7 linked regions of the Zea mays genome follow. The main gene of each other region encodes a partner of the protein of the gene in region 2 in a complex. Links are inferred from orthologs where the notes say so. Each region holds a gene or a part of one and is shown on either strand. Other genes may lie near its edges. The genes, in order: Mediator of RNA polymerase II transcription subunit 28-like, Probable mediator of RNA polymerase II transcription subunit 26b, Mediator of RNA polymerase II transcription subunit 32-like, Mediator of RNA polymerase II transcription subunit 33A, Mediator of RNA polymerase II transcription subunit 31, Mediator of RNA polymerase II transcription subunit 13-like and mediator of RNA polymerase II transcription subunit 18.

Region 1 (3,618 bases), about 22 Mb from region 2:
CCTTAAGTGATTTACTAAATTTTAGGTACCTGAATTTTAGTTTTTAGTGTGTTGTAATTTATATAGACATAATCTACATTTTTACTCTTAAGAATAAAATATCTATTGAACAAAATCATAAATTTGGTAGATTTTGATTTGTGTTGACATAAAGACCATTAACATTTTGCAATTATTTTAGTAGTTAGCTAAGGGAAAAAATATAGGTTATAACATAAAGGTAAACAATAAAATTATAGTCTTAGACCCCCTTTGGACCCTTGGAATTGAATTCTAATATAATAATTGTAATTTAGACATAAATCAATTAAACTAATATGGTTTTATAGTGAGTATATTTGTATATTAGTGTTGGCCATATTTGAGAGATATTTATATGTTACATTTCTACTATAGGAGAGTGAGTAGAAGAGTGTGTTATAAATTACAGAGTAGAAACGTAGAATTGAATACATAAAATCAATTTCCACCCCATCTTATGAATTTGAGATGAGTTTATATCTAAACTTTGGAAAGTGGTGTAATATCAAATTCAAATCAAATAACCTACTCTATTAAATACTCCCTCCAGTCTTTAAATACTTGATGTTTAAGTGATTTTCACTTTGGATGCAAATACTTGATGTTGAAGCATTTGAAGCTTATTTTGGACTAGCAAATGCTTGATGTTGAAGCATTTGAAGCTTATTTTGGACTAATATACCCTTGATATAAGTGGTTCACACATTCTTCCACATATGCTTAATTATTCTTATCGTGAAGGTTTGATCTCACGACCTAGTGTAAAATTCTTTAGGACCCAACCATCTAGGCTAACATCTTCATGTGTTTGTTGTGGAATCTAAGCGTATTTATTAGGGGTATTATGGAAAATAACAACCCTATTTAATAGCTCCTTGGTATATGAGGTCATGTCCAAAACATCAAATATTTGAAGACTGGAGGGAGTAAATTCCAATTCTTTGAAAATAAAAGGATCCAAATGGTCCTTTATTAGCAATCAGTGGTATATAAGAGTGTTGCCTAAATTTTAGGCACCAAAATATGAAGAAGTGTGCTATTATAAAAAAGAAAAAATATTTCAGAAAATTGTCAGCCTGAACAAACTATGCGCTTTCCTTCAGCCAAGGCAGCCTCAGCCCTCGAGCCTATGCCTATCCAGGCGCAGAACACGCCATTTGTAAACCAATCCTAGCCGTGCGTCTTCAATCCAACGGAAAGTTCCTCCTTGTCAATAGCAAATCGGAGGCCCAAGCGCTCCCAATCTCTCCGGGTCCTCTCTCCGCATTCTCCGTCATGGCTGAGCCGACGCCGTCGCAGTCGCCAGCGCAGACGCCGCCCCCGCCGCCGACGCAGCAGACTCCCGCGGCGGGTGGGCTCGAGGACATGCTGGCGTGTGTGGCGGCGCTGGAGGCCGCGCTGCTGCCGTGCCTCCCCGCGCGCGAGCTCCAGGCCGTCGACCGCTCCCTCCAGTCCTCCCACCAGAGTACGGCCGACCCCCATCATTTCCCCACTCTCCTCCTCTAGAGGTAGCTTCACTTTGATCCGGCACGGCTTCGACACCAGTAAAGTCTCATGGTGTTCGGTCGGTTAATGGCGCCGTCGCGCGCCACATGTTCGTTGTTTTGCCTACGGGATGGATAAAGGGATCTTGCTCTTTCTAGAGGAAGATTTTGCATCTTTCTTGTGCCCAGGAAATTGTATATCGATTGGTTTCTTAGGTCCTAGACTGAGAACTCAACTTGTATCAACTGTACCAATCAGGCAATCACATTGCAATGCTTATTAAAGAAGTAAATCACATTTTTAGATACCGACTTAATAGTGTGCAATGCTTATTAGAGAAATTTAATTGCATTTTCTCATTCGTTCCTGCCAAACAGGGTATCTAAGTGTTGTAGTCTCTACTAAATTGGGCAGTTGATGTTGAGAGGCACGCAAGGGATTTCATGGAGGCTGCCAAGAAGCTCCAGTCTTATTTCATCAGCCTGCAGCGTGAGGAACCGCCATCTGCAGAAGAGATGCTTCGAAAGGTATATTTCTACTTTATCCTCGTATAGTTAAGAGTGCGGCAAGGATAGTAGTTAAATTAAATTGGGGACTGGTTATGGAGAATGAATTAATTATAAAGTGTTTGGTTTGAGGAATGAGCTAGTCCATCGTCTTCTCACTTCTCTTTTTTTATTTGATTTGTGGAATGAAATAAGGAATGGAGTCATTCCTTATAGTTAGTTAGTACTAATATGAGAAATAAGGTCATCCCAGCAAATTTGAGGAATGGACTCATTATACACCACATCATTTTGGATTGAGTGACTCCTCAAACCAAACACTCCCTTAAAAGTTTTCATTGGTGATAGGATTGACATTTCACATGATATGATCATCCCAAGTACTGTGATCATTTGTGGTTGGCACTATACTTAGGAATAGCCAACTTTATAAATCACATAGTGCTACTTGCTACAGGCAGTTTGTTACACTCAGTATAAGCTTTATTACAAAGACTCCTATATTTCTACTCGAAGTTGAGGTGTTCATTATTGAAAGAACTGGTAGCCTGCCTGAATCGTCACTTCTACAAAGTAATGTTCCCAAGGAACACCCAATCACATTCATACACCTAACACCTTCTGTGCTCATGAATTTTTCATGCACACGTTTCTGTAAAAAAATGCCTTTGCAGTAGTTGAGAGAATCACAGGTGCATAGTTGCTGGTCTTAATTAGGAATTTGGGATACATATACCCACCCAATATTTATCATCTCGTTGGCATGTTCGGTTTTGCATTGCACAGGAGATTACGACAATGGAGGAAGAGTTGAAGAGCAAGTCTGAGCTCATTGCCAAGCACAAGAAGTTGATTGAAGGGTGGCAAAAGGAACTGAAGGAGCAGCTGAGCAAGCACATCACGGAGCTTGAAAGGGTGTGAGGAGTGCGATTCTGCGGTTTACCTTGTAGTGATCATGAACCTCTAGGTGACCAAATGTTATGTTATGCCCTATAAAACTGTGTACATGTGCTTAGAATCTGACGCCATGGTTAGCAATCGCCTTTTGTTGGTTTCTTAAGGTTGGAAGCCACGAACAAAGCCCACTTTATCTATGTTTGATTGTGTACCTTTACTTGCCCCATGGTCTCTGTTGTTGTGCAAAATGAGTCTCTGCCATCATAAAACGACATAGAATGCTAACGGCTTCCTGTCTTTATGGGTAAACTTTGGGTGAATTTATGGGTAAACTTTGGGTGAACTGTTGGAGTCAGCCTAGCGGGTTATGTGCCTACTCTGGATGGCCGCCATGTTCGCAAGTTCCTTTCTATCTTTACTCCATTTGTGCCTGGATCAGCTCGAACAGAACCTTCTCCTGACAAAAAGCCGAGCCAAGTGGCACAGTTGCTACGTTGAATACACGAGCAAGCGAAAAAAAACACTTTGTGTTTTATCTCCGTTCCTAAAGGTGCACTGCCAGGTTGTTCAGTAATCCACTACTAGTCAAAATCTTTCTCAATCCATTTCAATACACCTTAATCCATATGATTTTGCTATAAAATGAACAAGACCTAAGGACATAATCCTTGTCATCACAATTCATATGGATTGGAGATAATTGGATGAG
Region 2 (4,188 bases):
ACCATCGTCAAAAACATGTGCCTTAGTTGCGTGTACTTACATCTGTCTGGCTTGCCATAGGCTTTCTCTCGATAGCAACATGCTCTCGAGTTTGTTTAGGTTTCATGTCACCAAATGGTCTCTGTTGAGCTGCCTTTACTGGTCTCCCCGGTCCAGATTCATAACTTGAGGGATTATTAGACTGCTTGTTGAGCGCACCGTGAGGTTTGGCTTGCAAACTTGAACTTTGGAGGGTTTGTGGGTTCGCTTGCCTCATTGGTGGCTCTTGCCTTGCCAGTTCTAGCCTCCTGGGTTGAACTCTTTCGACGACTCCAGGATAAGAGCGAGGTGGATCTTGCCTTGCAACCGTTGAATGGCTTGCAAGTCTCCCACCATTGTTACCCCTCTTGTTTCCAAGGCTCGGGTCATTACTATGTCTCAAATCTGGCACCGTATGCGCAACGTTAATAATCATCATAATGTTAAAACCAAGCAATAAGCATGGAAAATTAAGAACTGCTAAATTGCTGTACTCACTTCCATCTTCATCCATTTCGTCAAAGAACTTTAGGTTGGGGAGATGGGAGGAAAAACAACAGACACAGAGTCAGATTGTTGTTAAACACAAATCCCAATCAGATGGCAGGAATTAACTATATCAGTACCTCAGAGAGTTGAATAGAAGTGGTTTGGGTGGCAAAGAAGGCCCCTTCGTCCAAAGGTGGAGATGGAAGCCCTTCCTCTTCTTCATCCACAACAGAAGGATTTGAAGAGCCAGGGGAGTTCTCTACAGCACCAAAGAACAAATATCCATATTAAGCTAAGATGCCAGTCTTCATTTAGAAACTGTTAGATCAATTCAATTCAGTTACCTGTCAGGGCAGCATTTGTGGTACTGACCCATTCATCAACCAAAACTTTCCAACCTCTGAAACACACAAGGTAACCTCATATGTCAACAACATTTCCAAGAACGCTAGCAAGAAGGCACTTCCAATGATTATGTAGCTAATCTACAATTGGTTGGTTGATATTTGATCAGTGATTTTGGTCTGCTATTAAGCACTTTGAAAGCAACAGAGAAGTAGCACTAGGGACCAAAATTGACAGAAATGAAGATGGAACTTACTCAATGAGAGTGCACACGAGGTGCCGAATCTCTCGTGAGTTGTGTTTCCGCAGCCGATTAACAGCTCTTCCAATCTCAGTAGCCTGCAATGAACAGTCCTAAGATTAAGAAACCAAACAGCCAGAGCAAACAGGGATCAACACATCAAATAGCTCATATGTACGCAATATCCATTTTGTACCTTTAGCGTAGAGACGGACAATTGCATCAACTGCAGCCTCCTCAGTGAATCGAACAAAGTGGCATCCGACTGCAGGAACAACATGATTTAGCTCAGAGGAATTCGAAGTTTAAGGACCTTATAAATAAATGAAGAAACGAGGCAGTCTGCCAGTACATGGTCTTCCTTGTGCAGGAGGAGTTCCTTGATGCGGAGGACCTCGCCGACGATCTGTGACTCCTCATCGATCTCATTGGTGAGCGCCTCGAGCTCCTCAGCGTCGTGGTCTTCCTCCCCTTCTTCAGTATCATCCGCGGCATGCTGCTGCTCATCTTCCTCCTGTTGGTCGCCATCTTCGTCATCATCATCGTAGTTGTGGCCATAGTTGCTCGCTGCGGCGCGGCGGAGGCGCTCGTCGTCAGAGTCAGAATCATCGTCCTCATCGGCGTGGCCATGGCCATGGCCGCCGCCGCCGTGGGTACCGTTGCTGCTGCTGTCGACCTTGCACTCCTTCTCGGCGACGCGGCGCACGCTGCCCTTGTCCTCCTCAACGGGAGTGGCCGGGGTGGTGGACGCCGCGGCGCTGCCGAAGGACGGCGGCGCCGCGTCGCGGCGGAGCGCGGTGAAGAGCCTCTCAGCGATGCGGTCGCGGCGGTGCAGGAAGTCCCGCGGCGCGTCGGCCGCCGCCACGAGGATGGCGTTCTCGATGACGTCGCAGATGCCAGCGCCGGCGCCACGGAAGAAGCCGCGCCACCGATCCAGCCCGTCGGCCATCGCCGCGGCCGCCACCGGTCCCCGCCGGGCCACCGTCGCCAAGATCAGCCTCCCCCGACCGCGATTCTCAGCAGCGCAGCCAAGGGCCGATGCTCCCCCTTCCTGCTTCTATCTGCTACCAAATTACGCCGCGCGCACCGGCACCAGAACCAAGAACCCAATCTCTCCCGCCCGCCCAACGGCGAATCAGATTCCCCCGAATCGGGGCCGGGGCAGGGGCAGGGGCAGGGGCAGAGTCACCAGCCAACCGATCGAGAAAACAGCGGAGGAACAAGAGCAGGGCGAATCCGGAGGCGGAAGGGATCGATCGCGAAGGAAAAAAACTAGCAGCGTGACCTTCCTCGGGCCCCACGTCCCCGTTCCTTGTCGGTTTCAACAACCTCACCGGGAGGGAGTTCCAGCGCGGCGCGGAGGTAGCCTAACCAGAGCAAATCTTATCTGGACTGCCTGGCTGACCCCTAGAGCGGAAGGAAGCGGGGAGGAAACACAGGGAAGGTGAAGTTGAAGACAGGAAGGGGATGACGATGAGACGGGCGGATAGGGACGGGGAAGGCAGGGTGCGCACACCCACGAGACCTACGCGGCTACTACTACCAAACACCAGCAACAACTAGTCTTTCTCCCATGGCCCATGCCTCGCCACCACTAGCAGCTGCAATTGCGGTAACAAACTGCAATTTACCAGAAGAAGCGAGCGAAGGGCAGCAGGACTCGGCCGTACTCAACCCGCAGGAGATGGCGGAAATGCTACGGGAGATGGGTGAGACGCGGCGTGGCTGATTCTTGTTGCGGTCGACTCGGGCGTCGGGGGGCGCCCTTTCCGGTCTCTTTCCTTCTCTCTCTCTCTGTGTTGAGGAGCAGTGCTGCTAGGTTGATGATGCTCACTCACAAAGTCACAGGGTGGTTTTCCATCATGATTATTGTTTAGTTGCGTATAATCTGAACTATTTACTATTTGGTAAAGCATATCTCTCTCGGGCCATAATTGCAAAGTCATTTGCGTACCGACTACCGAGCACAAGTATTTTCAGCACTGCACACAGCGTGTCATGTCAAATGGATGGGATGCCCTCACAAGCTTTATCATATATTTTTATTCTGTTTTCTTCATGTCGTATTTCAATGTTTAATCATTAATTTTTTTAAAAAATCCATATAAAGTCGGAACATGTACAATGTGTGTTAAATAAAAAATTTATTGTAGTGAATTTAATACAGCTTGGTGCGTGGTACTTGTTCTAGTTGATAGGTTGAATGAGACAATAAAGACGTAATTCTATATGAAACAACTGACGAGACATGAATATAACTTTTGAAAAAAAATGCTTGTCGTTGTAGGCAACTGTTGTGCATTTGTTTTTTAAAAAAAGACGGAAGACGAGTTTTTTAACACAGTCGTGCGACGCGCTGCACCTAGTACAGAGCAGGCTCTCAAGGTGGCAAAATCGTAAGACACAAGAGGTCCGCGATGCTTTGCAATACATGAGATGAGGAGTCGAATGCTATACTATAGGTTTCGCAATACATGAGATGATAACCCATGGTCGCAAAAAAACAAGAACGATAAGAATGGGTGACGGTATAATAAGTAAGATTGAACGAAAAGAGCGAGAGAGATGGAAAGAAAAAGAAGAAAAAAATCCTCTCCGGAAATCTCGGGAAAAGAAAAAAAAATACTATAGCCATCAAAATCTTACACCAAACAATCTGATGAAACTATAATAAACAGCGAAAGAAATGCATCGTCTGTTTTTGCAGTGTTAGCATCTTGATCCGAGCATCCTGGCTTATTCCCACGCCGCGCATAGATACTCCCATTTCAAAAGTGGCATGTGTTTCATGCTTTTTGTTGAGAAGGAATTCCGTCTCTGTATTTTGTCCCCTGTGCACTGCGTGCGCATCTAGCGTCTCCCACCAGTAGTGTGGGACAGTGGCTGGCTAGGGTTGTTTCGAGGTTCTTTTTTTTATTTTCATTTTTTTTAAATTTTCTACAGTAGTATGACTTACGCGGGTGTTCCATTTTGGAGTGGCTGCTGGGGTAGCCGAAGGGCCAGTCGTGTGTCCTTTTCACTAGCAACCATATGCTGGCTTCGTGTAGCAGCAGAGATAGTAGGAAGGAAAAAGGAAATGGAAGAGTATATATTAA
Region 3 (3,757 bases), on a different chromosome or scaffold from region 2:
TTCAATGTACGGTAACGTTTAATATACTACGTATTGTGTATTAATAGAGTGATTCACTGATAATAACACACCCATTTGGTTACATGTCAAGCCAGATGACATGTCTAGAACTATCTAATCAGAGTCACAATCAATAGGGACAATCGTAGCAGTAAGCCAACACACCACTCAGCTCTTCCTACATTCAGTGGCGGATCTCCAACCGAGGCTGGGGCTGCCTGGGCTGCAGCCCGGTCGCGGCCCAAAAATCAGCGAATAAGCCCATCAGCTCCAGCCGCGCGACCGCGTGAACAGCCTCCCAGTCGTAGGTCGCTCCTCCTCCCTCTACCCACGAGCTTCAGGCCTCCAACCGCCCACGCCCCGACGCCCGGAGCACCGCTGCAACCCGCAGCGTCGCTCGCCCGGAGGCCGGACCGCCGGAACACCGCCGCTAGCCCCGCCCGGAGCACCGCCTTGACCACGCCGCTGTCCAGCCGCCACTCCGCGCTCCCTCCTTCTGCTAATTCGTGGAGCTCAGGTTTGTACACACGCGCTGAGAAGAAAGTGTGCTTAGCTATTAGCTTGTTCTTGCATTGGAGTGATGAGCCAGACAGCCAGTGATGTATGGCCTTGCCATAATGCCATGCGCGGTGTGCGGCGTGTGCCAATGCCCCTCCAAGCTTTCTGTTGGGGGTTCCTTGTTCTGTTGGGAGTTTGGGACGATGAAGGAATAGGAGGCCAAGAGAGTTTCTGCTAATCTGTGACAGATCATGCAGGAATAGGACGTCCCATGCGAACTGCGAAGCAGAAGCAACGAAGGTGAAGCTGTGATCTGTGAAGCAGACAAGCAGTGAAGGTGAAACATGTGCTATTGTTTGCTTTAAGTTTGATTTGAAATTTTGATTTGATTATTTATTTGGTAGTAATCCCATGCTTATAAGAATAGGATGGATAAATTTTTCATCAAGAACCAGAAGAAAGATGATTCTAATTCTAAAACAATTAGGATAAACGAGAGTCTTGTAAAAAAAAGACCACGTATAGTAGCTCTGGATCCGCCACTTCCTACGTTCTGTCCGCACGATTGATCGCGAGCTTCCCAACAACACGCGTCCAATAATGTAATTTTTAGAATTTATTTACTATACGGTCTGGGAAAACAATATTATTTTTTTAGAAAAAAATCCATGCCTACAATCTCTAGCCCTGGTCCAGATGCGTATGTCGAATAAAAAGGCCCATCCTGATCTCGACCCGATATCGATTGGGCCATTTCGGCATTTCCTGTTTTCACGCTTTGCTTTCGGTTTCGGGGTCGTCGTGTCGAATTGGGGGCTGAGGCCGAATTGGATCGTCAGAAGCTGGGGGTGAGGGAGGGATGGAGGCGACTGTGGACCACCTGAGCGCGGCGTACGACGACTTCATGGCGGCGGCGGCGGCTGTGGTGGAGGCCCGCGTACAGTCGGGCGGCGAGAAGAAGACGGCGGCCACGGACGCCGCGCTCGAGGCCTTCAAGCAGCGCTGGGAGATCTTCCGCGTCGCCTGCGACCACGCCGAAGAGCTCGTCGAGTCCATCCGCCAGCGCATCGGCTCCGAGTGCCTCGTCGACGAGGCCACGGGGTCCGCCTCCGCCGGATCCGTTGCCGCCCCCGGCATCAAGCCCATCAGCGCCGTCCGCCTCGAGCAGATGAGCAAGGCCGTCCGATGGCTCGTCATCGAGCTCCAGCACGGCGCCTCTGCTCAAGGGACCGGCGGCAGTGGCGGTGCCGCTACCCCAAATGCCGGCGCTGGAGGGCAACACCCGGAGGAGGGTGCCCAGTAGGTATGGACTATGGAGTTACTGAATTAAACTAGTAGCATCGCCCTTCTCATATGAAAATTGTAGCATTTTTCCTTCAATAGAAAACAAAGAACTTGTCGTTGCTGTGTTTCTATGAGTGACAGCATTAACCTTGCGTGTTGATATTTGCAAGAACATGAACTAAGGTGCCGTTTGGTTCATATATTTGTAACGTAATGGGTAATGGATAACGTTAAATCATGTTTGTTATAGTCCAACCGTAATCAGATACCGTACTAAAATTTGATACCAGCCTATTCAAATTTGTTACCGCCAGTAATCGAGCGTAAACTATTACCATTACCATTTGCGTTACATTTTTTGAACCAAACAGCACCTAAATCATTGCGATTTGCTGGCTGTTGTTTTTACCTTTCCATTTTGAGATATACTACTACTCAGCATTAATGTCTTTATGCCCATTGGTTATTGCCCAATCTTTACACAGATTGCTAAAATGCTGCTCTCCATAAAAAAAAATTATAGTGTCGTGACAAAGCATGAGAGGTATATAGATCTAATTACATGATGACCAGAAAAAAAAAACCTGGGGGTATAATGCTGCGCCAGTTTTAAGTCTGTACCTGTTTGGACCAGCCAGTGTATGGGGATTGGTTGTTGCAGTTTTTGATTTTGAGTCAACTCTTTTGTTGAGTGAAGAGATAAGGTTGGGAACTTGGGATCCCTGGTTTGAGATAGACAAAAAAACTAAAAAAGGGCTGATCCAGTGCTGGAGGCTCTCACACGAGTGGGGTCTAGGAAAGGGATGAGCTTCGAACTCACGACTTAAATTAGGTGCCGTTTGGTTCCTAAAATGTAACGTAAATGGTAACGGTAATGATTTGCATTCGATTACCAGGGGTAACAAGTTTGAATAGGCTGGTATCAATTTGTAGTGTGGTATCCAATTACAGTTGGACTTAAACAAACATGATTTAACGTTATTTGTTACCTATTACATTACAAACATATAAACCAAACAGCACCTTAGTTCCTTTATCGTTCTATAGATCCAAAGTTTTATTCACCACTGCTATGGTCCCTACAGATTCATGATATTTGAGTTAACAAAGCAGTACTGGTTTTCATTGTTCTCAGAGTATATTCACTAGTCATTTTCACAAAAGCACGAACTGAATTGAACAGTAATTTAGTAAGATGGTTACCAAGAAACCAGATATGCCCATCACTGTATCTCAAATGTATGTTAATCTATTATGTGCAGAAAAAAAAGATTTGACTATGCTACATGACAGTATGCTGATAAACTATTGGAAGTAAGCAGAAATGTGGAGATGTCATAATCTGTTTGTATCGATATTATAGGATCTGTAGACAAAGTACAATTTCACAATTTGATGGCTGCACTCAAGAGAATTGGCTGAGGACTATGAACTACTCCCTCCATTTCTAATTATAAGATTTTTTGGCTTTTCTAGATCAATAGTTTTTGCTACACACCTAGAAATATATTATGTATAGATACGCAAAAGCTATGAACCTAGAAATGCCAAAATGTTTTATAATTTGGGACAGAGGAAGCATTAGCAGAAAAAACATGCGTTTACATCCAACATGGATTAAGACGCGTTAACGCATTATCATACCAAAAACATAGATGATATGGTGAGCAAAGTGCATTATCATACCAACAACAGTAACATGGATTAAGACCACAACTGATTGTTAAAATTTGGCCACTGACTCAATATAAGCAGTGTACCTAAAAAATAGAGCTGAAATGAGATAATCTGTACAGAAACTTTAAAGGTTGTAACCAATGCCAAATTCAGAAAATAGAGCTAGATAAAATATTAGCTCCATAAGTATACCGGACTTTGATAAATGTAACATGCTGAATGATACTACTCCGTATCATGTGAGAAAAGGATCTGAGTATCTGGTCGATTAATTTAAGAATATATTAAGACCTGGAAC
Region 4 (4,000 bases), on a different chromosome or scaffold from region 2:
TCACGATTGAAGTAAGAGTGTTCTCATTTGATTTTTATTGTGGTTAGCTGAGCAAACAAGGGGAGAAGTTGACGGCTTATGAGCACTGTGGCACACAGCTGCTGTGCTCGCTGGATAAAAAAATTTGGACGAATAAATAAATCAGTCACAAAAATAAAACTGGATGAGAAATAAATCAGGACAAACAAATCAGCGACATAAACGAAAAATATGGACAAAAAAAACAAATAAGTGACAAAGACAAAAAATATTAAAAACCACCCACCATGGGGCTCGAACCCGCGACCACAAGGTTAAGAGTCTTGTATTTTACCAATTAAGCTAGACAAATTTTCTATACAGAACAGAGCTCGGCGCCATGATCTATGGCGCCGAGCTCGGTACCACGTCGGCCCCACGACATTCGTTTGTGCCAACGCAGCACGTACCTCGGCGCCATAGCCTATGGCGCCGAGCTGTGTTACCTCGGCGCCACAGGCTACGGCGCCGAGTAAATGGTCAAAAATGACATTAAAATTTTCTAGGGTCTAAATGTGATTTTTTTTCCGATGAAGGACCAAAATGCAAAAAATTCGGAACACACGCATACCTACCGTCTTCTCCTACTAGTACTAAAAAGAGAGAGAGATTTGTTTGGCGGAGAGCGAGACAGAAAAAAGTAGTACCATATCTGCAGGTGAAGTGGTCAGGCTGTGTCACTGTCAGTTCCCACTCACTCACTGACGCCGTAGTAGGTGAGCGTGAACTCAACGGCCCAACTCCGAGGGCCGAGCCTGACGCATCGCCACAGTACCCAGCCAATCCGAACAGGACGACGGCCGGCGTGGCCACCGCGCCGCGAGTTGGGCTGCCGGACGGACGGTCGGTCGGCGGGGCCCGCCGCGCGCGGGCTGCAGCAGCAGCTTTTTTCCAAACCGCGAGCGACGAAGTCAAGGGCGCCGGGACCACGTGTCAACGGGTGGGGGCTGGATCACGGCAATGGCACCACCACGCCACTTGGTGTGGGACCACACGTACCTCCAGGATCCGCTGCGGCCAGTGGTAGCCTGGCGACTCCATTTTCTCTTGGTTGGAAAGCTCGGTCACGCAGAAGATCCTGAAGCGGCGGCCCCACCGCGAGGTGGTGCGGTGGGGGACTGGGGGGAGAGGTGGTTACACCAACGGGACGCCATCAGCATCATCGGCGATCGGACCACCACCAAACCAACCCAGCAGCACAGCACCTGCAGGGCTGCAGCAGACACCACTCCAGCAGCCTCTCTCTCTCTCTCTCCTCACCGGCACGGCACTCCACGCGGCGGCAGGAGCACCCACCGCCACTGACGGGCGGGGGGGAACACGCGCGGCCATGGCCACGTCGGCGCCGCCACCGTCCTCCGCGCCGTGGCTGGAGTGGGCCGCGGAGTATACCAAGGCGGCGCAGGCCGAGGCCCGCCCGCCGCCGGAGTGGGCGGCGCGGGTGGCGGCGGCCGCTGCGGCGGCGGGCGAGAGTGAGGACGTGCCCTGGTCCGCGGGGCTCGCGGAGGTGCTGGCGCGAGCGCTGTTCCCCGGCGGCGGCGGCGGCGGTGGCGGGGCTGCCCCGGCGGCCGCCGCTTGGAAGTACGCGGAGGCCGCGCTCGCGGCGCGGCTTGCGTCCCCGGCGCTCCTCCTCGCGCTCCTCTCCACCAGGTGCGGTCCGGTGCTTCGTGGCGTCGGCTTGTGCGTTGTGTCTGTGGCGTGGTCCGTGGCGGTTGGTAGGATCGGAATGGCGGAATGCAGCGCTTAGCTGTCGGGGATCTAAATCGAATCAGTTGCACCTCGAATGCACGCAAGCAGTTTTACGACGTGTCCGGTCAGGTGTTTGCCCGTACACGAGTTTTACCAGGAAGCTGACGTGCTTCGCCCCGATAATTTGAGGGGGCGGAAATACGCTGTGTGGCAGTGTCATGTGTCAATGCATTGCCAAATGACAATGTGGGTAGATCACACCATGGGAGAAATGCCTGTTTTAAGAATATATAAGCAGTTGGACACTCAGTCGGTAGGCTAATCAGGGCTTCACTGCAATCCTCGTCCAGTTTTTTTTTTCAAGAGAAACAGGGTCTTGTAATAGCCAACACGGTTAGTTTGACCTATGTTTTGGGACTGGAAAAGTAGTTAGATTAGCGTGTGGCAAATCCCACTTAGTACTAATTATTTCACTGGCTGGTATTGCTGTCGTGCAACGTGCTTGGATTGTGTGGTGTGTGACCTTATGATGGAGTTAGGACTTTTCTCAATGTTTATTCTTATGGACTTCGTTTGTTCTTCGGGTCCTGCAGGGTAATTCCTCACCGGCTTTCCAGGCCAATGGAGTATAGACTCTACCTTGAGCTCTTGAAAAGACATGGGTTCAACTTCCATCATCAGATGAAAGCAGCAAATTTCAGAAAGTGTGCCTTTCCCCTCTCTGACTGCTCCCTGTATTTTCTTAACACTATGCTCAAGTCAGTGGTCTGGAATGAGAATCAGAGTAATAGGTGTAGTGTTCAATGTAATTTAGCATTATTCTTAATGGCCTTAAAAATAAGCATTTCAGTTTCAGGTGTTTGTAATTGTAATAAGGTTTACACTTGTATATACACCTTGTTGTGTGATGTCTCTGTAGTGGATTAGTGGTCATATCTTAATGGCCTTAAAATAAGCATTTCAGTTTCAGGTGTTTGTAATTGTAATAAGGTTTACACATGTATATACACCTTGTTGTGCGATGTCTCTGTAGTGGATTAGTGGTCATATCTGTCATTTCCAACTAAGGGCCCCAACTTTTATATGATGGAAAGTCTACTTGTCTTGCAGTAATGCATGCAACTTCTCTTGAATTTGTCAAGGCGGCATTTATTGCCGAAATTCTTCTGGAAATTTTCTTATATATCTTTTATACATTACTTATGTTCTTCACTTCCTAATACTTTGCACTGTTATTGCTCTATAACTTTAAATTGTTTTTTGGAAGTAAGAGTGTATGTGCTTCCATGTGGTTTTTAAGCTTGTTCCTTGCACTGTTATCTATTCATGCACTCTATCCCTATAGAAGTCTCAAATGCAATTGAAAAAAGGGCCTGTCTTGCAGTGTTAAATTTGCTGGAGCAATAAGAGATCCTTGCTAAAGCCTCTCTAATGTTTGCAGGATCATGGATATAATAGAGCGGAATCTTAGACTTTCCAAGATATTTGGCATCTCTACATGTGAACCAGGGGTTTTTGTTGTGCATTTCATTCTTTGTATTATATGGCAGTTGATTGATGTTGTTCTGGATGATGAGGGCCTACTAGAGTTAACTCCAGAGAAGAATGCTCAATGGCCAACAAGGCCTGAAGATGTGAGCACATTTGAAGGAACTTTTACTGAACAAAGAACTGAGAAGATCAAAAAGTTACAGAAGATGAACACTGTAACAACTATGGAGCTCATTGAGCATCTTCTTCGCGATAAAGTAATTACTCGTATCCTATCATTGGCACGCGAAAACATGTATGTCTTTTCAACTTGAAGTACTCTTTTACTGAATTGTTTCAGGTCTTTATTTTTGAGCATTTGGAAATGATGAATTCATCTTTTTGCTGATTGGTCATTAGTAATCTGTTTTCAAATATATTAGTCAAATAACAAACTAGATCTTCATCTCATAGGCTCATGACCTCATAAACTTCACTCAAGCTTATGGAGGAAGCCTTGGTTTATTCCTGTTTGTGTGGGATTTGGGTTTGGGGAGCTACAAATAATTGCTCAAGATTTTGCCAGTAACATAACCAATGTATCATAGAATATTCTGTGTATTTTCTCTAATGCAAACATTTAAGATAATGTTCTAGAAGCACTTAGGGTTATGCAAAAGGAAAAAAGTACAACTGTCTATGCTTGTGGTATTTTATTCGCCTTACCTCTTAAATAGCCAAGAAAAGTTTTGATAAAAACGGCAGCCATGGGACTCGAGCTTTGTCATGATCTGATGAACTGATGGGTGAATGTAAACATCAA
Region 5 (3,995 bases), on a different chromosome or scaffold from region 2:
CCTGCAGCTTGGTTGGTTTGGCCTGGCCGCCAGGACACTAACGCAGCTGGGCACAAGGTTCCGGACCAGGTAACTAGCCGGTGCAAATAATGCAAGTGGCCAAGTGGCGGCTCCCTCAGCCTACTTGCAGTTGCAAACAAGAGTGGGCTGAGGGCTACTGCTGGGCACCATAGCCAGATCCAACTAATGGCTGTTGCTCCCTGTATGTGCATGCATGCATGGTTGAAACATTGGTCATAGTCCAAAATGATATTTTAGTCATAGTTCAAAACTCTAAAATTCTGCTGGGAGTCATGCATGGTTCAAACCTAGTTATCATGAATGGCTTAACACTTTTTAGAATTTTGGTTATGATCTGCGATGCACAAAGTATTAATAATGCAATTTTGTATTTTAACTATTTATACTTCCAGATATTCCTCGACATACTTCCAAGCATAGACGTGTCTATAAGTTATGACTAATCGTGTTTATTTGAAACAAAAAATAACGAAGACCAACAAATTCAAGAAAAATATTGTTATGCAACTAGTGGGTAGACCTACATTACCCATTGGGTCAACAGGTTCTGGCCCTATCAGCCAATTTAAACTTTGAAGCGGCCCTTTGACGTTTGACCTATTGGCCTTACTTTTGTGGGTCAGGTCGACTACCCAATGGGTCGACCCGACCCATTCCCGTTCCTAGCCATGAACCACCCCACAAGAATAAAGAGATATAAAAAGATGAGGATGAATTGCTTCAAGTTCTTTCGCGTGCTGGAAAAATTGAATAAAGTAAAAGAAGAGTACTCAAGGTTCTCTAGTTGTTCAAAAGAATCTAATGATCCTGACTCAATCTATGATAGATTGGCTGTTTCCCCTATGACTTTGTGGACAACTCATGGACAGCCTATTCCCTTATTGATGAATTTGGCCACCAAATTGCTTAGCCAACCAGCCTCATCTATAGCTTTATCCATAGTGTCAAGAGAAATGCCATAACTCAGAGCATGTTGAAGATTTGGTCTTTGTCTGCCAAAAAGAACTGATGCATATAAGACAGGAGAGACAATGATGTGGGATGTGGGAGGAGATTTTTTTATTCACTTGGTGGTATTGGCATCCTTGAAGTGCCTGACCTCTCCCTTGATGGGCCTGAATTGCAAGCTGTGTCTTTTGGTTTGGGTGATCTCCAGCTTAATGTTGTGGATGAGAATGAAACAAGCAAGACAAATGCGGAATAGGAACTTGGTGCGAGCCTGAATTGCAAACCTGAATGCCTTTTATTAATTTCTTAAATTTGAGACTACTGTATTTGAGAATTGAGACCTGCTGTGCTTTAATTAGAACTTAAATAGTTAAGTAGATTGTGGTGTTTCATTGTTAGATTGCTATCCATTTTAATATGCATTATTATCCTTTTATTTAAAAAATAGTAAAATGTATTCATGAATGGGAATTTTTAGGAAATTGCTGTATCTGTGTATCAGTATCCTTGTGATACCGATACATGTATCAGTATACGTGCTGCATAGTTCTACAAAAGTACTCATATCAAGTTTGTGTGACTTTCTGTTTTTTATAGGTTCTAGAAAGCAAGTCAAAATAATATGGCCCAACAGAGCAACTTCAGCTAGGTTTTGAAAGAAGGGATGACACTGCAAGACGGTAAACAAAAGCTAAAAACGGTGCTCAAGTGTGAACGTGTGATTCTAGGCCAAAAGATCACCTTGTTTGTTGGATGTGCCATTGCATTTCGGAAATTGGCATTTTGGAGAAGCTCAAGAAAGAAAAGGCAGTGTGGATACCTGCATCATCAGCAAAAACAATGAGCAAGCCATTTCCTCTGTTGCAGAAAAAACCACTGAATATGGTATCACTCACATTATGTATTTGATATACTCTGGTCGCTGCCAGTATTTTAGATACTTGAGGTACCCGATAAATGCCTCATCCTCGAAATATCTATTCTGCGCTAGATCTATTTGGGAAAAGAAAGAGCATTCAAATCATCCATGCAGTACCAAACATGATGTGCATTGAACAAGAAAGTTCAAGTAAAAAACAAGGAGCCATGAGGCACACAAAATGATGATATCAAGCAACACTACTAACAATATCACAGCCTTAGCTTAGCAATCATATCCTATTGATAAGAAACCGCTCATGAGGCCCATGCAGACGAGACCAGTTTGAATAGGGGAGAATGGGATTTAGGCTAGTACTAAAAATTCCTAAGCACTCCTAGCTCCCTTCTCAAGCAGGGACTTACTGACAAACACACACTTCTACAAAAATTTTCAGTCCGTTGCAATGGATTGCTAGTTACTAGCAGCACAGCCCCTATCAAAATTGGTAACAAACCGGTACAGGAAAACGTTCTATAGATGCGTGCAACATCAGATTAGCTAATCCCAACAAGGTGAGATGAAACAAGAGAATGGAGGACAGTACAGTACAGTGGATGTAGGTAGGGTTGGCGAGGCACTGCACGAACTCCAACTCGAGTAGGAATCGCTGACTCCCATTGTCAGGGTCCTTGTACGGCGGCGGCTTCCCACCCACGCCAGGGTTCTCGACGTCGGACATCGGGGTTCAATCGGTTGAAACCAGGGGCAGATCTATTAAAGGAACAAGGGTGTACATGTGTACACACATTAATCAAATAGTCTGAGGTTAGAGTTTTGAGAACTCGATTTCGCACAGCAGACAGGGAACTAGGGAAGAGAAGAGGGTGGGAATACTTGGCGGGCGCTCTTCGCCGGCAAACAGATCGGAGAAGGTCTCGGCAGTCGGCACCTGGCGTACGGCGGCGGCGGTAGCCGACCCCGAGAGAGAATGACCGGATCTTGGAAAGAGGGAGTATCGACCTGGACTGACGCACTGTCAGCGGTGCGAGCCAGGCGGCGAACGGACGAGAGGAGGTGCCGTGTGCGGTTGGAATTTTTTTACTTTTATTAATCCTTTTTAAAATTATACTACCTCTAGTTTTTTATATATGACGCTCACCAATTCATTTTTGACTTGTTCGACGACAAATAAAAAAATCAAGGGAGTATTATTTCCTAAAAATAATATAGTCACTCTCTCTTCTCTTCTCTGAAGCACTCTCTGCTACGTAAAGCACTGGTTTTTAAGTTTTCACATCGTCTCTGATAAAAAAGAAGTATTTTTTTTTTAATCTAACTCAATCCAAATATCTTCGCGTGTCGTGGATCACGTACGTAGATTTATTTCTCCCCCGTTTCTCGTCTAATAAAATAGAGAGGGGATAAGACTTATTTTGCTATAGTCAAACTAACCCAACTATAAATCCCTCTTGTAGATCTATCTATTATCGATCATCACAAAGCGCCCTACTCGGTAGATATGCTCGCGCTCCATTGTCAACCTCTAGGACATCTGTCGGCGTCTCGAGACCGGGGGGTCCCTAAGCCGACGAGTGAGTGTGCCGCGTGCCCCAGCCCAGATGGGTCGAGCGCGTGGGCGAGCGCGAAGAGGGGAAGCGAGGTGGCCGGAGACGGGCGTGAGAAAGGTGGAAATCCCGCGGCCTTCGTGTTCGTCCCGCGCCCAGGTCGGGTGCGCTTGCAGTAGGGGGTTACAAGCGTCCACGCGGGTGAGGGAAGCGAGCGGCCCCAAGAGAGCGCCTGTCCCGTCCTCGTCCCCGCGCGGCCAACCTTTTCTAAGAAGGCTCTGGTCCTTCCTTTTATAGGCGTAAGGAGAGGATCTATGTGTACAATGGGGGTGTAGCAGAGTGCTACGTGTCTAGCGGGGGAGAGCTAGCGCCCTAAGTACATGCCGATGTGGCAGCCGGAGAGATCTTGGCACCCAGCTGGTGTGGTGTCGTGGCTGTCGGAGGAGCGACGGAGCCTGGCGGAGGGACAGCTGTCGGAGCGGTTGGGTCCTTGCTGACGTTCCCCTGCTTCCGTAAGGGAGCTGAGAGCCGCCGTCGTCACAGGGCTAGCGGGGCGCCATCATTGCCTATCTGGCAGAGCTAGCCAGATGGGACACCGG
Region 6 (4,052 bases), on a different chromosome or scaffold from region 2:
CGGTAAATTGTTGAATTAGGAAGAAAATGTGTTGTGTCACATTTGTCTATCTTCACACTTTTGTGAATCGATTTAAGGGTGTCACTATTTTTTCCCAATTCATTTATCAGTCTGCTATACAGATCCATGATCTCCCTTTATTTTAATTGTGAGTCAACCATGTCTATCTTCACACTTTTGTGAATTGATTTAAGGGTGTCACTGTTTTTCCCAATTCATCTATCAGGTTGCTACACAAATTTCTGGCCTCTCTTTATTTTAATTGTGAATTGATTTAAGAATAAGTTACATTCCTCATCCTTTTTAACATAATTCTCTCAGTCACCTTGTTGATTTTTCCTGCTACTGTCCTCACATTTTGCTCGACCTTTCACTTCCCATTATTAAGGAAAGCTCTTCACTGGCTTGATCTATCGAATGAAGCAGCCAAAAATCGTGCTACTGATTTTTGTTTCCGGCAAGATTATTCTGACAAGAGCTAAGGTTAGCATCTATTTCTTGAGCATTATCGTACATCTCATTTTTTTCTGATCGCGTTAGAGTATATCCAACTTTTTTCTCTTTCCAGGTGAGAGATGAGACGTTGTTTTTAAAATTATCTATTGAGTCCTCATAAAGTTCATAAAAGTCCGACAATGCTAAGTACATGGTAATTGCTAATGGGCATGACTAATTAGGGTATGTTGTTCAAGTATGTGCCCAGTTGTTGTTGTTGTTCCTCTTTTATCGTTTTGTTTCCTAATTTCGACGATACCATTACCTGGATGCTCACGAGACTTATATGATAATACTATCCTTCTATAGAATCAATGTGTTGATTAATATTCGCTACATATTTATCATCGTTTATTTTTTATCAATGACAAAGCACATGTACAATCTTATATACCTTTTAAGATATGTAAACGTCCACTTTTGATGATAATAATAAAAGTATAGAATAACATATAATATTTTTGCATATCAATGTATTTTATTACTATTTAAATTGCACATAAATTTCATGTCATTAGTGTTAATTTGTGAGATATAGGGTTGATAATCTATATGTTGTTCGTTTTATATAATTTTGTGTATTAATATTTATCAAATAATTTATACGCTGTCACAACGTACGGGTATTGAATTATGTGACGATGTGTTAAAAAAACATTAGAAAAAAAGAGAAAAATGATAGTATGAACTTTTATTTGGTGGCCCATCTCCCCCATCTAATTAATTCAGCGTAAGCCCAAGTTCCACCAGACCCACACGTTTCTTTACCCAGCGAAGGCACTGCATCTCCCATCTTCGTCTTCCACGCAGCGCCGGCGCTCCATCTTCCGCAGGCGACGGCGGCGGTGCTCAGGCGCGGGCTCTTAGCCGCGGCGGCGGTGCTCAGGCTCGGGCTCGTAGAGGCGGCGTCAGCGTCTTCCCCTCCCGCCTCTCATCAGTCACCTCGCGCCTTCGCCTCCGGTCCTCCGCACACCGGCCGGTGTTCTGCGTGCGTGCTTCTCTCTCTCCTCCCGCCTCCGGTGGATCGTCAACGGCGCCCGACCCCTCAGGCTGCGCCGCGCGCGGCCTGAGGGCAGCGGGAGCCAGCAGCCGCTGCTCCAACAAAGGGGTTGCGCCGCTTTGGGAGCGCTTATGCCCCAAAGCGAAGCGTTACACGTCCTCTTAGCGCTTCAGCTTGCTGAAGCGTGCGCTTAGTGCCGCTTTTTGGAACCTGGCAGTAACTATGTGGACGAACATTTTCAAAATAGTAAGTCAGACCTTACTCCTGCCCCTCTCCCCACTCTTTGTTATATTCTCTCACTATCTGATGTGGCTCCATTTGTGCAGCACCAAAACTTGGCAATTTGTTCCATTTTGGAATATGCTTGCTTTAAGTTTTTTATTTGATTGTAGCTTCTCGCTAAGTGATTCACATCATCTGGTTCTCAGCCATTTCAAGTTGATATTCTTTCCAATTTGAGCAACATAATGCATTTCTTAATGTCATTGTTATTATATGACAATTATCCGAAGCAATAGTTCCTTTGTAAGTACCGCAAATATGCTGTGATGAAAAAACAATCTCTAAAGAAGCATCTCGAGACCTCGAAGAGAAAGAAATGCCATGAATTTGTGACCAGAGCATTTTTACAACTCAGGCCAACACATTTTACATTGTCAAACCCAGAAGTTGCAACTCATTTTTTTGTTTGGGCCATTCAGCAAATTTGACTACCCAGGCTTTCATATCATGACTGGCATACCTCTTCAAACCATCTAGATTCTCATTGTTATATTTTTCCCTAACAGGGGGAGCTCCAAACAGTTTCTTGGTTTCAGTTTCTTCCTATCGAACCCGATGCAAGTGCAGCGTCTGAGAAAAGGTGCTGTATATGCTTCTTTGATGGCCTTTTGTGCTTTATCTTAGTTGTCTTTGGGCATTCGTTATTTATGTTTGGAATCATTTGCTTGTTTTGTGTATACACGTTCTTATTTCAGTTCAAAGGTCGAGCAGAAAGATGCTCTTAATAGCATTGTGCTTTCGGCTTATCTTCACTTACAAAGTGAAGGTTTTCTAAGTACTTGGACTAATTCCTTTGTTGGTCCATGGGATCCATCTCAAGGAGAGCATAACCCTGGTAATGATCATATGTATTGGCTTCTAAATGTCTATCTATTTTTCTTTCACCTTAAGTTTGGGCTTGGATAATGTATACCACATGGCTTTGCTATAATTACAGATGAGAAGATCAAGCTCTGGCTGTTTCTTCCTGGCTGCCACTCATCGGTATCTGAAATCGCCCAACCTGCTGTAAACAAGCTGAGAGGTTAATTCTGGTTGATTTTTTTTATTGTGATGTCTTAATCCAATGTCCCAGTGCTTATGTATTGCATCTTTCTACTGCTTATTATTTTGCTCTGTAGTTGCTTCAAATGGTTTATGGGTAGCCCCAGGCAACTCGGAAGAGGTAGCAGCTGCACTATCACAGGCTTTAAGAAATTCTTTAGAAAGGTATTCTTGTAGTTCTTTAATATTTGATGCAGAAAGAAATCACCAAGATTTTTTGCTGGTTGGACATGAATATCCCTGTATTTTTTGGGGTGCAGATCACTGAAAGGGCTTTCATATGCAAGGTTTGGTGATGTTTTTACAAAATACAACCCCCCTACAAGAAATCAAAACAGCTTTAGGTTTGTTAGCAAAGTTTTTTACACTTTTATTTGCTTATTCTGTTCTTTTTCCACTTATCAATGCACGATAAGCTGTCAGTTAAAGTTCCATGCTTGGTTTGTGAGGGTTTGGAGGATATGTTGGCTCACTTTATCACAAATGACAGCAGAAGTTTTGCTCTTAAAAATATATAGTATATACTATGTGAGACATGAAATATGTAATGGATCCTGCTACTATTGTGCTTAGATAGGCTTTTGCTTATATATTGATACACTACTCTTTTTGAACAGACCTAATTGGATCATCAATCTGCACTGTAACTATATATAACTTATCTGCTGTTTTTCCTTTCACCATAGGTTTTGGCAATGATTTTTGTGCCATTTTGTTAACCTTTATTATATGATATGCGGATGTGTTGAACTGTTGATGCTTTTAACTGAAGAGATCATTTGGCTACCTTATCTTGTATCGGAGCATATTGCCACAGCTGGTAGTATTCAAGGACTCTACCTTTCCTGATTTCTTTATTCTCATTATTATTATTTTAGGAGAGCACAGCCTACAGTCGAGTTTGTCTTTGCTGCCACCGAGGAAGCAATATTTGTTCACGTTGTAATATCTGCTAGGTAAGTACTTAATGCTCACGAATGCTTGATATATTGCTGATCTTCAGTATATATATGTACTGATGAGTGATGACCTTGTTTTAAATAATATTCTACAAGGTATGTTCGGAACCTTTGTAGTGATGACATAGAGAAAGTTCTCGCTCATTCTCCTCCCTCCATCGGTGAAGGTCTTCCAGGTACTGTTTTCCATCCCTCAATAATGTTTGAGGTCTTGCTTCTTTTGTTGTACCATTGCAGCGCTTTGAAAGACTTCAGACTTCCTTTATTTTTTT
Region 7 (4,223 bases), on a different chromosome or scaffold from region 2:
ATCAGAGTAAGGTAATTAGGAAAGGGTTTTGTCCATTTCTATTTAGGTTTCGTCCTACAGTCAACATTTTCTCTGATACCACTTCTGTCACACCCGGATTTAAGGAACAAAGCCGAATGCATCTCATACATGTGCCAAAGAAGACAACATATATAATAACAGAGTGTATAGAGATAAATGTCACAATAACATCAGAGTACTTATTACATCGCGGAAGTCTTACAAAATAAAAGATAAATATAAATCGAACTAAAATCCATCTTTAGCGCCAATAAGTCAACTGGGAGATGCCACCTAGATTAGATCAAACTCCTCATTGTGTGCCTCCTCCTGAACCACCTGTTCTTCTCCTATGGGGGTGTGAGACAGAAAGGGTGAGCTCACATATGATCATAGCTCAACAAGTTGTGGGGAAACTAGTGTGCATGAACTCACCAAAGGTGAGAGTTCATGTGAAGTGTAAGGCTGATCAACAAAATAAAGGTTGAAGCTGAGCATTGCTTTTATAAGTTGGTCAAAATTTTATTAGCAGTTACTAAGTGTAAGTAAATACCAAACCATAATAAATAATAGAACAAAATTAATAAGTAATCACATGCAATGCAAATGACAAATTGAATTTAAGTTCCATTAATTAATCATGCGACAGTTCTGAGCTGCTCATGACCATGAGCTCGGCTAGTATACCAGTTTTACACTCTACAGAGGCTGTACCCTGTATCCACAAGTAATGTTACCCATCTACCAAGGGATCGCGACTCTCATACACCTCTACCAAGGAAGCGAGACAGGGCAACACTACGAGGCCTTTATAAAGTTCCACTAGATTTCGACTTGCAAGAATCCCCCGTCTGACCGCCATCGCAGCAAAATCAACCGAGAACCTCTCTGCATGTAACTCTCTTACTGCCGTTGCCCCTTTCGGGTAAGGTAGTTTTCCACTAGCTTTCCTAATTAGTTAGTCAAGGGGTCTCATTCCTCTCTTGTGGTGACACATGTTTCTCAAGTTAAGCTCTATGTTCCAATTAAAGATAATAATCTTGACATGAATAAAAATAAAATAACAAAATAATTGGAACATGGATATAATGAAATATTAACCCAAAACCATGTAAAGAAATAGTAAAACTATCAAGTGATTTAGGAATAAAAAGGTAAAGTGATAACATATCTAGAGTAACCTATTAGGTCTTATCAAAATTAAAATAAAAAAAGTGACAAATAAGGCTGAACAACCCCCGCACCGCGACTAGGCTGAACAATCCTGACTCAAGCCCACGGTTTATCTTTTCTGTCCGAGATCACCAAATTTTGATACTTTTTTCGTTTTCGCTATTAACCAAAAAAACAAATTTCAGTCCGTTTTAAATGGATTTGATTCAAAATATAACAATATAAAAAATAAAAGATTAGTCAACGAAACGAAATTTGGATCATTCCAAACGAGACTGTGAACTCTCCCAGCTCAAGCCCACCTCCCTGCTCAAGCCCAGCCGTCCACTGCCTGGCTCCCTCGTCCGGTCGTTCCCGTCTCCCTCCTCGCGTCGCGTCCACCATTGTTCCTGTCGACGCTGCGCCGCACGGCTCGCACCGCCGACAGTGCCTCAGTCCTATCGAGCCTCCCTCTTCCCAGATCAGGCCCTAGCTGGGCTACAGCCGCCGCCGCCGCTGCCGCATCCGTCACCTTCACACCGCGTGCGCGCGCGCTCTCTCTCTCTCTCTCTCTTTGCGACGACTGGACGGGCTACCGCAGTCGCCACCATAGGCACCACGCCCTTCGCTGATCTATTCGCTGGCGAAGAACGCTCTCAATGTATTCCCACTCCCACCCCCTTCTTCTCTCTACCCGCTGTGCGAAAACGAGTTCCCGAACTCTAACCTAACTATTTGATGTCTACTAACTTCTAATTTTGTTTTTTACTGCCATACTGGTCCACCCCTGATACACATATAACAAATCCACTAACGTGATTCTTTTTTTTTGGGTGCAAAATCATTGTGGGACAGTAGAAGATCGATGGAGTGCGTGGTGCAGGGAATCATCGAGAACCAGGTATTGTGCCACAATGCAAGTTGGCACTGATGGTTTATGTAAAATTTGATTTTCACGCATTCCACTAACATTTGAAAGATAGGAGCTCTTTCATCATCGTTAGTGCAGTCTATTTTGTTATGCAGATCAGACATTAACTTTTCCTCTCACTGCTTGCATCTAGATTTGATAAGTATTTTGAATGGTGTATAGATTGTTAATATCTATTTGTAAGTATATACTTATAGTATTGAATTTGTTGTTGAACATTTCGTTACTAATTGAATTCCGTTGCTGTGGACAAAACAATCTCATATTGATGTACATGTACAGTGCACAATGTTGAGCTTACGCACCATACAATCTAGCTTCATTTTAGTGTTCAGTTGAGCTCCCTTAGGTATGGCCACTATCCATAGTTGCCAGTTGGTGGTCACTTTTCTGTTTACTCCATCACAGATAAATACTAACAAAAGTTTATTTTATTGAAGTGATAAATAGATAGATCATGTAGACCACTAAATGTCAACAATTTATTCCGCGCTTTAAGGCACTACTTCTGGAGCTTTTGATTTCATTTGTTTTTTTTCTTCTCAGCATGTTAACAGAATAGTAACATTTAATATACAGTTGGGGGAACATATGATCTATCCTTGTGCTTTTACAATAGAGAGGAACTTAATTTTTTGGTATGTTCTAGTTTATGTGTTGTGCACAGAATGTAAGTTGCTCTTTGTTGTACTGCTCTGCCATTAGTTTAACCTTTGTTTGATCTTTCCATTTTGCAGCATGTCGATGCTCTTGAGGTTCTACTCCAGGGACTCTCTGGTGTCCCGAAAGAGCGTTTTAGGGTGCATGAGCTCTGCCTTAAAAGTGGGCCCAATCTAGGTTAGTTTGTGATTAGTCTACTCCTCCATTCCTACACATGTGGCGTATTAACTGACGTCTTGCAATCATACAGGTGTTGTCCCATCGGAGGTTCGTTTGTTGTGTGACTTAGCTCAGCCCACACCATCCTGGTAACCGAGACAAGCTGCTGAAAGTCTACCTTTTGTTATGTTTATCATTAATTGTGACAAGATTGTAGGACCATAAGACATGTTGGTGGTGCCATGAGAGGTGCTGGTGCGGAGCAAATCTCAGTTCTGGTTCGTACAGTTGTGGAGAGCAAAGCTAGCAAGAACGTCTTGCACTACTTCTACACCCTAGGGTACAAGCTAGACCATGAACTCTTGAAGAGCGGTTTTGCATTTCGTTTCCACCGAGGTGCCCAAATCACTGTCACTGTTACATCTGCTAACAAGATGTCAAGGCTCCATGCAACCGATGAAGCTACGCCAGTCACTCCTGCCATACAGCTAGTGGAAATCACAGCTCCTGCTGCTGCTGATAATTACAATGATGTTGTTTCAGCTGTCACTGCGTTCTGTGAATATCTTGCCCCGTAAGTACCCCAAAGCTTGAATTCCGAGGCAACAATCAGAAAACATATAAGAATGAACCAAACACCTTTTTGGTTTTAATAATCCTTGGAAATCTGCTGCAGGCTGCTGCATCTGTCAAAACCAGGACACTCGACAGGAATCGTTCCAACAGCAGCCGCTGCTGCTGCCTCACTCATGTCAAGTGGCGGTGGCAAAACCTTGTAATGCTGCTAGGACAGCCAAAGTCCGTTCTTGCTGCTAGGACAGCCAAAGTCCGTTCTTTGAGATGAGTGGGCGTGGCTAATGAGGTGGCCTTCTTCGTGCCGAGCATTTGAGCAGTCAGTTTTGCCTGCTAGTGTTGTCCATGTCTGACACATCGTTGTGCCAACCTTGCTCTTGGTTTGACTGGTTGCATGATTGCTGATGGGTAATGCCCTGCCTTGTAGTTGCAGGGTGTAACAATCTAGTATTACCAATATTAAAATTTCTCAAAAATCCAAACCATAATTTCTTTTCTCAAAAAGAAGTTTATCTCATGTGTATATATTTTTCAACTAGGTGAGTGCCCGTGCGTTGCGACGGAAGTAAAAAAATTGTATGAAATATATAAACGGAACGACAAATATCATTATGATATGCAAAATCCGTATGGTAAACATTATCAATATTAGTGGCATGTCCTTTGTGGAAAGACCACCCATTAAAAAGTCATTGATGCACCCATCGGTCGAGACGTTGACAGGAGATTAGTATGACACTTAAGATTG

What was found.
Region 1: Probable mediator of RNA polymerase II transcription subunit 26b (region 2) and Mediator of RNA polymerase II transcription subunit 28-like share a complex: the UniProt entries of both Arabidopsis thaliana proteins name them as parts of the mediator complex. The link is inferred for Zea mays from reciprocal best matches to the Arabidopsis thaliana genes AT5G05140 and AT3G52860.
Region 3: Probable mediator of RNA polymerase II transcription subunit 26b (region 2) and Mediator of RNA polymerase II transcription subunit 32-like share a complex: the UniProt entries of both Arabidopsis thaliana proteins name them as parts of the mediator complex. The link is inferred for Zea mays from reciprocal best matches to the Arabidopsis thaliana genes AT5G05140 and MED32.
Region 4: Probable mediator of RNA polymerase II transcription subunit 26b (region 2) and Mediator of RNA polymerase II transcription subunit 33A share a complex: the UniProt entries of both Arabidopsis thaliana proteins name them as parts of the mediator complex. The link is inferred for Zea mays from reciprocal best matches to the Arabidopsis thaliana genes AT5G05140 and RFR1.
Region 5: Probable mediator of RNA polymerase II transcription subunit 26b (region 2) and Mediator of RNA polymerase II transcription subunit 31 share a complex: the UniProt entries of both Arabidopsis thaliana proteins name them as parts of the mediator complex. The link is inferred for Zea mays from reciprocal best matches to the Arabidopsis thaliana genes AT5G05140 and MED31.
Region 6: Probable mediator of RNA polymerase II transcription subunit 26b (region 2) and Mediator of RNA polymerase II transcription subunit 13-like share a complex: the UniProt entries of both Arabidopsis thaliana proteins name them as parts of the mediator complex. The link is inferred for Zea mays from reciprocal best matches to the Arabidopsis thaliana genes AT5G05140 and GCT.
Region 7: Probable mediator of RNA polymerase II transcription subunit 26b (region 2) and mediator of RNA polymerase II transcription subunit 18 share a complex: the UniProt entries of both Arabidopsis thaliana proteins name them as parts of the mediator complex. The link is inferred for Zea mays from reciprocal best matches to the Arabidopsis thaliana genes AT5G05140 and AT2G22370.

The regions. Positions count from the first base shown.
Region 1 is NC_050103.1:84,916,337-84,919,954, reverse strand, and holds Mediator of RNA polymerase II transcription subunit 28-like, read left to right. Parts: upstream 1-1,150; 5' UTR 1,151-1,296; coding exon 1,297-1,486; intron 1,487-1,920; coding exon 1,921-2,033; intron 2,034-2,798; coding exon 2,799-2,933; 3' UTR 2,934-3,118; downstream 3,119-3,618. UniProt on the Arabidopsis thaliana protein: Component of the Mediator complex, a coactivator involved in the regulated transcription of nearly all RNA polymerase II-dependent genes.
Region 2 is NC_050103.1:106,778,747-106,782,934, reverse strand, and holds the start of Probable mediator of RNA polymerase II transcription subunit 26b, read right to left. Parts: upstream 2,801-4,188; 5' UTR 2,043-2,800; coding exon 1,446-2,042; intron 1,359-1,445; coding exon 1,290-1,358; intron 1,192-1,289; coding exon 1,109-1,191; intron 908-1,108; coding exon 852-907; intron 767-851; coding exon 645-766; intron 545-644; coding exon 517-544; intron 424-516; coding exon 41-423; intron 1-40. UniProt on the Arabidopsis thaliana protein: Component of the Mediator complex, a coactivator involved in the regulated transcription of nearly all RNA polymerase II-dependent genes.
Region 3 is NC_050101.1:142,578,410-142,582,166, reverse strand, and holds Mediator of RNA polymerase II transcription subunit 32-like, read left to right. Parts: upstream 1-1,238; 5' UTR 1,239-1,357; coding exon 1,358-1,801; intron 1,802-3,044; 3' UTR 3,045-3,257; downstream 3,258-3,757. UniProt on the Arabidopsis thaliana protein: Component of the Mediator complex, a coactivator involved in the regulated transcription of nearly all RNA polymerase II-dependent genes.
Region 4 is NC_050097.1:165,234,306-165,238,305, reverse strand, and holds the start of Mediator of RNA polymerase II transcription subunit 33A, read left to right. Parts: upstream 1-1,200; 5' UTR 1,201-1,348; coding exon 1,349-1,668; intron 1,669-2,300; coding exon 2,301-2,411; intron 2,412-3,148; coding exon 3,149-3,493; intron 3,494-4,000. UniProt on the Arabidopsis thaliana protein: Component of the Mediator complex, a coactivator involved in the regulated transcription of nearly all RNA polymerase II-dependent genes.
Region 5 is NC_050096.1:207,962,300-207,966,294, reverse strand, and holds the start of Mediator of RNA polymerase II transcription subunit 31, read right to left. Parts: upstream 2,801-3,995; 5' UTR 2,726-2,800; intron 2,603-2,725; 5' UTR 2,571-2,602; coding exon 2,441-2,570; intron 1,963-2,440; coding exon 1,866-1,962; intron 1,790-1,865; coding exon 1,711-1,789; intron 1-1,710. UniProt on the Arabidopsis thaliana protein: Component of the Mediator complex, a coactivator involved in the regulated transcription of nearly all RNA polymerase II-dependent genes.
Region 6 is NC_050104.1:30,374,727-30,378,778, forward strand, and holds the start of Mediator of RNA polymerase II transcription subunit 13-like, read left to right. Parts: upstream 1-1,252; 5' UTR 1,253-1,717; coding exon 1,718-1,741; intron 1,742-2,283; coding exon 2,284-2,357; intron 2,358-2,472; coding exon 2,473-2,612; intron 2,613-2,714; coding exon 2,715-2,801; intron 2,802-2,898; coding exon 2,899-2,986; intron 2,987-3,081; coding exon 3,082-3,165; intron 3,166-3,699; coding exon 3,700-3,777; intron 3,778-3,876; coding exon 3,877-3,956; intron 3,957-4,052. UniProt on the Arabidopsis thaliana protein: Component of the Mediator complex, a coactivator involved in the regulated transcription of nearly all RNA polymerase II-dependent genes.
Region 7 is NC_050100.1:126,532,858-126,537,080, reverse strand, and holds mediator of RNA polymerase II transcription subunit 18, read left to right. Parts: upstream 1-1,423; 5' UTR 1,424-1,813; intron 1,814-2,007; 5' UTR 2,008-2,017; coding exon 2,018-2,053; intron 2,054-2,820; coding exon 2,821-2,920; intron 2,921-2,993; coding exon 2,994-3,051; intron 3,052-3,119; coding exon 3,120-3,476; intron 3,477-3,578; coding exon 3,579-3,681; 3' UTR 3,682-3,945; downstream 3,946-4,223. UniProt on the Arabidopsis thaliana protein: Component of the Mediator complex, a coactivator involved in the regulated transcription of nearly all RNA polymerase II-dependent genes.